2 linked regions of the Schizosaccharomyces pombe genome follow. The protein of the gene in region 1 purifies or fractionates together with the protein of each later gene. This does not show direct contact. Each region holds a gene or a part of one and is shown in the gene's direction. Other genes may lie near its edges.

What was found.
Region 2: the proteins of mim1 (region 1) and atg43 purify together in Schizosaccharomyces pombe (affinity purification with western blotting; one study listed by BioGRID). This does not show direct contact.

What each region holds. Positions count from the first base shown.
Region 1 is NC_003423.3:880,368-884,530, forward strand, and holds mim1 (MIM complex subunit Mim1), read left to right. Parts: upstream 1-2,092; coding exon 2,093-2,308; 3' UTR 2,309-3,548; downstream 3,549-4,163. Other genes in the region: SPOM_SPBC713.07C (polyphosphatase), read right to left, coding at 1-1,285. UniProt on the Schizosaccharomyces pombe protein: Component of the mitochondrial outer import machinery (MIM) complex that mediates transport of proteins into mitochondrial compartments. Promotes the insertion of tom70 into the outer mitochondrial membrane.
Region 2 is NC_003424.3:5,221,303-5,228,277, reverse strand, and holds atg43 (mitophagy receptor Atg43), read left to right. Parts: upstream 1-2,228; 5' UTR 2,229-2,306; coding exon 2,307-3,041; 3' UTR 3,042-3,669; coding exon of another isoform or gene 3,670-5,094; 3' UTR 5,095-6,475; downstream 6,476-6,975. Other genes in the region: Smc5-6 complex SMC P-loop ATPase subunit Smc5, read left to right, coding at 1-1,872; uga1 (4-aminobutyrate aminotransferase (GABA transaminase)), read right to left, coding at 3,670-5,094; SPOM_SPAC19D5.10C (uncharacterized protein), read left to right, coding at 6,559-6,567, 6,637-6,891. UniProt on the Schizosaccharomyces pombe protein: Mitophagy receptor that tethers atg8 to the mitochondrial outer membrane to promote selective autophagy.

The sequences.
Region 1 (4,163 bases):
GAGACTGCTCTTCAAGCGTTTCCCAGTTAAAAGAAGTGATTTCAGTTAGCTCTTCCCGATCATCCAGCTGATTAGCAATATCAGAAATATTGTACTCGTAAACGCGAAAAGTTGGAAACATTTCAGGTATAATCGAACCACCAACGGTAGCCAAGGAGTAATTCCCGACGGTTCCATTAAGAAACTCCTCTGTTAAATTCTCGGGAAATGTAGGAAGCTCCGCGTATTGGGCATCAATTAAAGATTTTACATATTTTGGTTGCGCACTTTTGATTCCATAAGATTCTGTATCAACAGGTAACTTATCGAATTCCAAAAACACAAAATGGTTTATGTTCATATGACCATAGAGTTGTCCAACTATAATATCTCGAAACTCATAAAGCAAATCCGTAAAAGAAGTATAACAATCTTCATACCACTGGCCCCTTGTAGGGGGAATATGTCCTAGAAGCCAAACTTTCATTCCCTTTAGCCGATACGCTTCAAGCTGTATTTTGAACCATCGCATAAAAAGAGAACCAGGTTCGTCTAGATTATCATCAGGACAACCATCGACCGCGGCATTTTTGTTTGATAGGTAAAGAGTGTTAATGGAAATTGCTGCTAGCTTGTCCGGAATCACATCACATAGGTAATAAGAGCCCTTTTCAAAAGTGTGTCGTTCCTCATAAGGAATTAAAGCATCCCAAGCACCAGCTAGTTGTCGAGTCATTGAAGATGGACCAGCTTCCATAATGTTATGAGGATATATATCATTATTCCCGATAGCGGAAACAATTGGAACGTCAGGAAACGCCTCTATCATTTTATTAACCAAGTCCTCATTTGAAGCAAGAATTTCACTTTGTGTTCTTGGAAAATGGTTATCATTGTCATGCCTAGAATTATCACCAGTCCACAGTATGAAGTCAATGCCTCCCAGAACATCATCTTGATGTTCCTTAAGCCATTCCAATGTCTTATCAATTAATGCTGGTGAAGAATCACATTCATAACCAGGACCAGGAGAGAGGTAACCCACTTTGCTTTTACCCAAGGGAGTATCGTCAGAATTATGATCATAGGAATGACAATAATGATCGACGGTGGATCCTTTTTCGTAATAAATGTCAGGATGCATATCGGTGATATGCAAAAATCTACCAACAAGTGGTTTTCCTTTGCTATTAACTAAATCATTTGTATGCGCTTTATTTCGCATACTCATAGGGTTGCCAAATGCAAAAGAAGCCCATGTCGACTGTACAAAAAGAACAGCAACCGTGATTACAGAGGGACGCATTCTAAAAAGAAGGAAATCGGTATATAAAAGAAAAAAAAACTTTACCTAAGTAGAAAAAAAGAGGACACTTCAGACTAGGACGAAATTTTCCAAAATCTGTAATACAATTTCCCAGGCAATTTCAAAAACAAAAAATGGTGTTTGAAAGATTCAAGGGCTTTTGAACTCAGTACAACTTAAATAAATCAAAATTTCCCAGTAGCCGTTAATGAAATAAGTATTGTTAATCTGTTTGACAAAAAGATCGATCTAAATTAAGATCACGAGCGGGTAGTCATGAACCGAAGTCCTGCAGAGTCAATAGAAGTTGCTTCTGAGCTTTGCAAACCCCAGAGAACACTTAATTTGGGTTTGGACTATTCGATGCTCGTAATGGAAGCAGTTAAAAGATCCGTGATACTCTTCCCTAGTGAAGACGAATGTTGTGTTCACCGCTATATATGTATGATGAAAGATGTCGCATTTTATATTTTGTCAGAGCTTGCATTACGGTATTAGTTACTAACTTAATTTCGTTAAATGAATAAGGAGGAAAGTGTTTTGCTCATTAACCATTGTCCTGACGCCTTAAAGCGTTGACAGCATCTAAGAACGGGACACTCGTAATTTTGATTGGGAATAAAGTATCCTTCCACATATACTTGCCCCATCAACTCAGTTGATTCTTAATAATAGAATTTACGCCAAAAATATTATTCGTGCAATTGCTTTGAAAGTTGATATAAAAACTTCTCTAAAGGAGTTATTTGAAAATTGTGTTGATTACCGGTTGGTTCGTTTCGTTATAGTATTTGTTGGACAAGCAGGATGGAGAAAAATACAGTTACAGTTCCAAAAACCTTGTTTTCACAAGTTATTCATATTTTCAAGTATGCGGCAATTAATTTGGGCCTTCCTTTCTTGAATGGAGTTATGTTGGGATTCGGGGAGATCTTTGCTCATGCATTTATCCACTCTCTTGGTTGGGCTCCAGGTCATACTAGGATTTATTCTATTCAAAGACATCAGTATATTCAAGCCTAAAATGAAGCATAGCTGTGCGAGGAAATTTATCTTTAATATTTGAGGGAAATGGTGTTTGCTTATTCGTGATTTTTTTATTTTTTCATTTTAAGCTGAGGCGAGTATTCATAAAATTTGAGATACTCGAATGCTTAACTCATGTTTCTCTCAGATGTATTATGGTTTCAGCTTTGCACTCTCTTTAATGATCGTTTTCTTTAGTTTTATTGTTTTTATTTTCTTTTCCCACAATATTAAGAGCTTCTTTGGCACAATGCAAAGAATATATATGCTCAAGGGATGGAAAACGAATTAAGCCCAAATGAATTGTGTTTATATTTGCAAAATAACATTTAATTTCCTTTGCATTTAATTTATTTATGATCGTTTTCCTTGAGCTTCCTTCTTCTGTTTTTTAAGTATAATTACTTTTGATTTTATTTATGCCCTTTATATTAACATTATGTGACACGTTATACATCGCTTCTTCGGACCGACAAATTGATTTGAGTAGCATAGTATAGAAAAAGGTGTCAACGAAGATTTATATGAGCTGTGAGACAAGTATCGAAGCTATCATCATTGTTTAAAATTGTTCATTATTTTTACATTACTTTGATTTGAATGACAGTACTACGCTTTTTGTTGTTTTCCTCATCACATCGCTTTTTTAAATAATTGTTATTGTATTCGAACAACGATAGTGCTCTAACTTAATGACTAAAACACGCTTATTTGTAAAGGCGTGTAAGTATTACTATTCTCAGAGCAACAAATCTCAACTGATTATAAATTGATTGCACAGCCCATTGATTCATTAGAATTTTACAGGTTATTTCTGTCGTTGCTCAAGCTTTGAAAAATATACTTTTGAATGATTCTTAAAACTTACATTATCGCATGCTTGGTACACTCGGTTGGCTTTAATGATGTTATAAGACAATTTCAAGTTTGATGATACAAAAAAGGATTCTGATCCTCGAACTGAATCTTCTTGTTTATGCATAAAAAGCAGATACCGACTACTTAAAGTCAGCAAATCTGAAAAAATAAATTATCATTAAATTTTTGTCAAATTTACGAATACTGACTTCACAATTTGCTATATAAACTTGAAGATTTATTGCATTAGCCAACAAGAATACTATATTTCTATTTTCTTCCAAGATGTAGCATGGACAAACCTAAACAGTAGTCGTTCTATATTTTATAGCTATTTAAATAATTAACTATATTACCCATCGCACAGAATTACATAGCATATTATTTAAATCTTGGATATACGCTCTACAAGCATTGCTATACACTTTCAGTGGTTTTTAAAAACATGTATTAACAGGATTCCAAGCAAACTTTAGTACGCATCCAACACAAATAGGAAGTCTACGATCACACAAATTACAGCGATATAGAATTTCGCGAAAAGAATAAACCATTAACTCAAGTAATTTCAAAAGGTTCTTTGTTAACGAATCTGTTTTAAATGTAATAATAAATTTTAATCTATAGCAAATATGTGGACCTTCTGACACTCGCGTACAAGTAGGTTATCTTGTTAGCAAGCTCTTAAAAGATCCATTCATTTATATACGCTCAGTGAATAGCAAATACGAATGCATAGCAAAATACCATGCGGGTAAAAAACCTTCCTATTCGCACTGTCTTGAGCGAGTACGGTAATGTAAAGTGACCATAATACCACTTTATATAGCAAAAAAATACTGTTACTTCAATAGTGACTATGAAAAAAAGCAGTCGCTAGATGAACTAAGTCACAATAATATATTGATCGATTAAAAACTCATTAGTATAGGCATAGTCAAAGCTAGTTGAGTCTTTTAATAAACCGGATTATTTAATCCGTTTGAAGTTGTAA
Region 2 (6,975 bases), on another chromosome or scaffold:
GAAGCACCCGCATACGGCCCAATTTATATGAATTTGAAATGTAAGGAAAAAGGGTTTGCAGCTTTGATAGAAGGGTTTTTTCGCACGGATACGTTTCGAACATTTATAATGTCAAATTATAATGATTATCTAAAGTTAATGGATCTTATCACTTCAAAAACTAAGTACACTCCTACTATAAGAGAATTCTCCAGTGAACGAAAAAAGAAGATAGAAGATTTTGAACCTCCATGCTCTCGTGAGAAGCTTCAGTCTTTCGGGTTTGACGGATATGTGATCGATTTTTTAGAGGGGCCAGAAGTGGTTTTGGTTGCTTTGTGCCATATGTTAAAAATTCATCAAATTCCGATTGCAAAAAGGGAACTACCTCCCGCATCAGTGAATGCGTTAAACAATTTTCGTCTGGCTAACGGGGATCCAGTTCTTAAAACTTACTTGGCGGGCTCATCTATCCACTTGGTTTTTCGTTCAGCTTACGGTGATAGAGAAATTACTAGGCGAACAGACCCATTACCTTCTCGCAGTATATATTTTTCCGAGAACGTTGAGATGGATTTGGTAAAGCGAAAGGAGGAGCAACTAAATGCTCAACTCTCTCAATTGGAAAATTTACAGAATGAGGAAAGAAAGTTACAAGAAAAGGTAAATGAGCACGAATCGCTGCTTTCTCGTACAAACGATATATTATCTACTCTACGAAAAGAGCGTGACGAAAAATTAATTCCTATTCACGAATGGCAACAATTACAAGAAAGAATAGAACACCAAACTCTTCTACTAAGACAAAGAGAGAAAGTTCCTGAGCAATTTGCAGCTGAAATTGAAAAAAATGAAGATATCAGGAAAGAGAACTTCGAAGCTCTTATGAATTCGGTGTTAAAAGTTAAGGAGAATTCAATTAAAGCTACGAATAATTTCGAGAAGATGTTGGGAAGTAGACTTAATGTCATAGAAGCGAAATACAAACTTGAAAAACACGAGATGGATGCCAACCAAGTCAACGCTCGATTGACAGAAGTACAAGATCGTCTTAAAGATATTACCGATAAGTTAGCCTCAGCAAGGGAGGATGCTATGTCCTTGTACGGTTCAGTGGTTGATTCATTGCAGACACAATCATCTGACAGACAAACGGCAATAACTGAATTAAATGAAGAATTTGCTACTAGTTCGGAAGTGGATAACAAAATTAGCATCGAAGAAACGAAACTGAAGTTTATGAATGTTAATAGTTACGTTATGGAACAATATGATGCGCGTAAAAAAGAAATTGAGGAACTAGAATCGAAAATGTCAGACTTTGATCAATCCGTTGAAGAGCTCCAAGACGAGATGAACTCAATCAAAGAGGATTGGGTTAGTAAGTTAGAGGAGAATGTTCAATGTATTAGCGATAGATTTTCTAAAGGAATGAGTGGAATGGGATATGCTGGAGAAGTTCGACTAGGGAAATCCGACGATTATGATAAATGGTATATCGATATTTTAGTACAATTTCGAGAGGAAGAAGGACTTCAAAAACTTACGGGTCAACGACAATCTGGTGGAGAACGTTCTGTATCTACTATAATGTATTTATTATCTTTACAAGGTTTGGCAATTGCTCCGTTTCGAATAGTTGATGAAATAAATCAAGGAATGGATCCTCGAAATGAACGAGTTGTGCATAGGCATATCGTCAATTCAGTGTGTGACAACGCTGTTTCACAATACTTCTTAGTCACTCCAAAGTTATTACCAGATTTGACATACCATCGAAATTTGAAAGTGCTATGTATTTGTAATGGTGCTTGGTTACCAGCAACTTTTAGAACATCCCTTTCTACCTATTTTGAAAAGTTAAAGAAGTCCGCACTCATTTCTTCGTCATAAATGCTACATTACCATATTTGTCTTGTTGGCATACTTTTTCTTAATTTTTGATATTTGTTTTGTCCGATGGTGTTTTGTTTACTAAAGAATTTATTTTATGAGTTTTAAAATTTTGCATACGAAGTTACCCGTTAGTCATTTCGTTCCTTAGAGTCACCGAAAATTTGACCGTTAGATTTAATAAATTAATAATATCATTATCTTTAATTATTGCTTTCAGCATCCTGACATTTAAAATGTTATATCTTTATTGCTTAACTTATTCAAAAGATACATGTGCCCTTAACGTAGTTTTGTGTAATACAATTATCGCGCAACACCGTAGATGTGGCGCTATCGGGAATCCATATTAACGTAAACAACAAAGAATTGGGATCATTCTTGTGCTTACCCATTTCTGTTCATTAGACATTGATTTTAGAGAAGCTTTATTAATGTCTTCTGAAAGCAAAGGAATACCAATTCCCCGCTCTGATTCTAACAAAACCAGCGACGTTAGTTCGTGGGAAGAAGATTACGAATTGATCAGCTTAGGCTCCAGTCAAGACGCTTTGCAAAGATCAGGCATTCGAAGTGCTCATGGAGATTCAGGATACGCGTCTTCTCCACTGCGAATGGAACATTTGAGTTCATCCACTATAATTATCAATAATCAACTAAAGAAGATAGACGTGAACGAAAGTATTCCTGAGAACTCAACGTTGCATAACAAGTATGAACTTGGTGCTGTAGAGAGCTCAACAAGTTCTCTTAGTTTGCTCCAGAGTAAAGAAGAAGATGATAGCAGTAATTGGGAAACTGAGGATTCAGAATCTGCCGTCGAAGAGGCAGAGCTTCCCACTATATTCGAGGGAAAAACAGTGATATCTCCTAGTAGCTCTGGTACGGATCACAGTGAAGCTGTCGAATATACTGTTCCTACAGCTCCCCCAATACCGGACTTGCGATTCCAACAGTCATATCTCCAATCTATTCAGCGTGCAAATGGGTCTGCCTTTTTAGTTGCATTAATTACTCTTCGTGATCACGTTCTATATCCATTTTTAAGCGGAGGGATGTGGGTTTTTGTTCGCCATATTTTCCAATTCTTAAAGCTCCAAGAGAAAGGGTTTCACTTTGGCCAGTCGCTTCGCCGGAATCTGGGCTTGTTTTCTACCTTCAAGGATTAATCCACGTTAGATTAAGTGTTATAGAGCTATCCAATTGCTCTCATCAGTTTTTTAGTTTTCTTATTTCCTTTGTAATGGCCCTATTCTATTGATATGAATTTTATAAGTTTTTTTAACACCAGTCATTTCCCCCTTTTTGTCTAGCACACTTTCATGGCAAATGATTTTTTTAAAGATTAATGAAATTAAAGCAAATGTGTTCTAGTAGGTTTGCCAACCGAGCATCGTCTCAATTCTTGGGTAACAACTATAAATTTGTTTTTTCCACCTTTTGCTGCTAATTAGTTAGCATTTACGGCGTCACTTTTATTCCAACACTACTTCATTCTCATTGCCAAGATAGCTAGCAATATAATCAGTCCTAACTATTAAGCTACTATATCACAATTTCAATGTTTGATAGAACGATTTGTTTTTCTCTTCATACAGCGAACAAATTTGTATCTGATAGAAATCATATATTTTTGACTATTATGATAAAATTAACTAATATTAAACTACAAAACAAACAGAACAGCAATATCGGCCATCCAAATTTTAGTTGACATAAATGCGGAATAGGTGTTCATGGGAACAAAAAGTGTGATCTTTCTTTTTTTTTCTGTTTTTTTACAAAAAAAGGGAAAATTTAAATCAATTCGTCAATCTTCTTGAGAAGGATTTGAGCATGGTGCTTTTGGAATACAAGCATAGGACGAAGACGAATAGCAGCTACACCACAGCCACCAATGTTGACACCATTAATTCTCATGTCAGCACAGAATTTGTCACGGGCTGCAGGAGACTCACAATCCCAAGCGATAAAAGTACCCTTTCCCTTACCGCGGAGGTTGTTGATTTTGCCAGGGTGCTTACGAGCAAGCTCTTCAAGTCCAGCATACAAGAAATCGCCAACAGACTTGACGTTATTAAGGAGATCCTTGTCTTGAATTTCTTGAAGAATATATCTAGATTGAACAGCACGGAATGGGTCACCCATCCAAGTATTGAAGTGCTGATAAGCATGAGGACGAAGAGCCAAATCATGATAGAAAATACCGGCAGCCTGGAATTTCTTGGAAAAGGTAACCATGTCAGGAGGATAGGGTAAATTCCATTGCTCGTGAGCCCATAAAGTACCGGTAGAGCCGACACCAGTTTGGACTTCATCGACGATAAACTTGACATCATGCTTCTTCAAAGTAGCTTGAAGCTTGTGGAAAAAGTCAGGAGAGGCATGGTTGTCACCACCCTCAGATTGAATGGGCTCAATGATACAGGCAACGACAGGGCAATGGTGGTTAGTTAAAATTTGCTCGACCTGGTCAATGCAGCGTTGCTCCTCCTTTGCATTCTCTTCGACGTGCTCTTCCAAAGGATACTTCAAAGCAGGGAAATCAGCTTGAGGCCATGGGAAAGCAGGCATACCAAGCTTGTGAACAGGCTTGGAGCGAGTAGTGGAAAGAGAACCAAAGAGACGTCCGTGGAAAGAGTGACGGAAAGAGAGAACAGCAACTTCGGGAGATCCAGGAGCAGCGTTGTTTAAGCAGCTCTCGTTCTCTTCAGCAGTGTAATCACCAGTAGGTCTAGGCTTGTTGTTGAAATGATGAAGCATAGCAAGCTTGTAAGCAATCTCGTTGGCATCACTTCCACTCATTTGAAAGTAAACATACTTTTGACCCTTGGGGGCATATTTGATGGCACCCTCATAAGCGACACGAGCCCATTCCTTAGGAGGGTAATTTCCCAAAGCAGGACGGTTCATTAAAATGGTAGCGACTTCGTCCGACTTGGCAGCCTTGAGGAGAGTAGGATTGTTGTAGCCAATGGGGATAGTAGCGATTTGAGAGTAAACATCCAAGAGAACGTTACCATCCAAGTCGACAAGATAGTTACCAATGGACTTTTCATAGTCTACAGGAAACTTGACAGCGCTGATGTCGTGGTATTTGGACATTTCTTCAGCAGCGGCCTTACCTTTGGGACCGGGAATAGTTTCGGTCTTAATGCTAGGGCCTTGAGGCTCATTGGGAAAAAAATGAGTGCTTTCAGTAACGGTGGCAGTAGAAGACATGTTGAATAGAAAAGTATAGTCTAAATGGAGGAGAACCTTAACTTAAGGCAGTAGAAAGTAAAATTAAAAAAATAAAAATAAAAAATAAAAACAAATGTTTACAATGAAACTCTTTTGCTAAGTTCTATGCAAAAGCAGGAAAAAAAAGAAACAAAAAAACAAAAACCTCAAAATGTGAATGATAATACTTTGTTTTTTAAAAAAAGATGCTGTTTTCGTAGGAAATCGCTTTCCTTTTATAATTCGTCTCGCACGACAAATTTCCAACTTTTGATTGCGGATTTTAACCTTCTCAATTACAATCTATGCTCGGGCAACATTTCCTAAACTTCCCATATCCAGCTCGCTAAGCGGTGATAGATAAAAAATGTGGTCGGTACACTTGGCCATCGGCAACCGATACCAATTTGCAAGGCAAACGATTTTCTATGGGGATATTCGGATGATCGAAAGAAACAATAGACGAAACTCATGATTTCATCTGCGACTTTGCATCCTTCAGAAGGTTGGCAAAAACGAACATCGAGGTATCATTGTAGATGTAAATGAATGTGCATGGACAATTCTGATGAATATGTTCAAAAAATTATCAATCACGATGGGCAAAAGGAAAAAATTTCACGGAGATAGCAAAACGCTCGGATTGCCTTTGAAAGGATGAGTGGAAAATAAATCTTTAGATTTTTATTAAGTTAAAGAGAAAATCACTTTTTTTATCAGTTGGGATTGAAACGTTTGGGACAAACGGTAGGCGGTTTTAGCACAGGTGGCCAAGATATGCATGCGTATAATTTAGATTTTTTCATCTTTGACATTAGCGATACTAAAGCGTTTCGATACGAAAACGTTGCGATACAAAAACGTTAAGAATATTGTTTAACTAATGGTTTTTGATCCATGGGTTTATACCACATAGTCAATTAATAAGTACTTGTTTTCAAAGTGTCACAAAAACATCTGGGATATTAAGAGTGAATATGAGGTGGAAATAGTAAATTCTAATGCGTCCCCTTCATGAAATACATTTCCTTTTCTCTTTCAAAATTACCCTACATTTGTAGCTTCTACCAAATTACTTTTCTAATAACAAATCGTTTGTATTTCTCTTTCCTTTGCTTCCCTGTAGAATAACGCACTAGGGGGGTTTGATGACACGCTATATAGCAATTTATAAGTTATTGTCTAAAATGTTTACAACCATTCCTCGTTTGATATTTGACGAAAGGTTCGACGATCGCTTCAAGTCACTAACACTCCATAATTTAGCTTGACCAAGCTTGATCAATCTTTGGACTGATAATTTTTTGATAATCTTAGGTTAGCGTGAATGAATTGCGCGTCATAATAATAAGTTAACGTGATCAAAGGGATTGCAAATCACCACTTAACATATTAAAACTTGTAATCCTAATGTATATTTACGTGCAGTCATTGATATTTGTTATATAATGATAGCAGAGCTAAATGTACACGGTATATAAAATAAAGATAAGAATGGTAAAGCACATAAACTAGTAGATAACGTTTTACATTAATTTTTAGTCAGCGTCTCTTTTCTTTATCCAAATTGTAATTAGCATTTTCAATAGTCATCTTGCCGTATTGTATTCTATCGCATTGTGTTATTCGGTACAAGGTAGAATCTTAGGTAGCTCCACCACCAATTTCGTGCACGACAGCACAATTGGTGTAAAATCCAGTTGGTCGAGACATTTAATTCATGGTATCAATATCTTTTCTTTTTCCATCTCTCTTTTTCTAATATTTCTGACTATTCCCTTGTTTGACATTGGGTAAACCACATCTGCTTTTTCTCTTTGCACTCTTTACCATAATATTCCAAGTCTATGCGTACATTGCTGTTGAAATCTTTGAACTTCA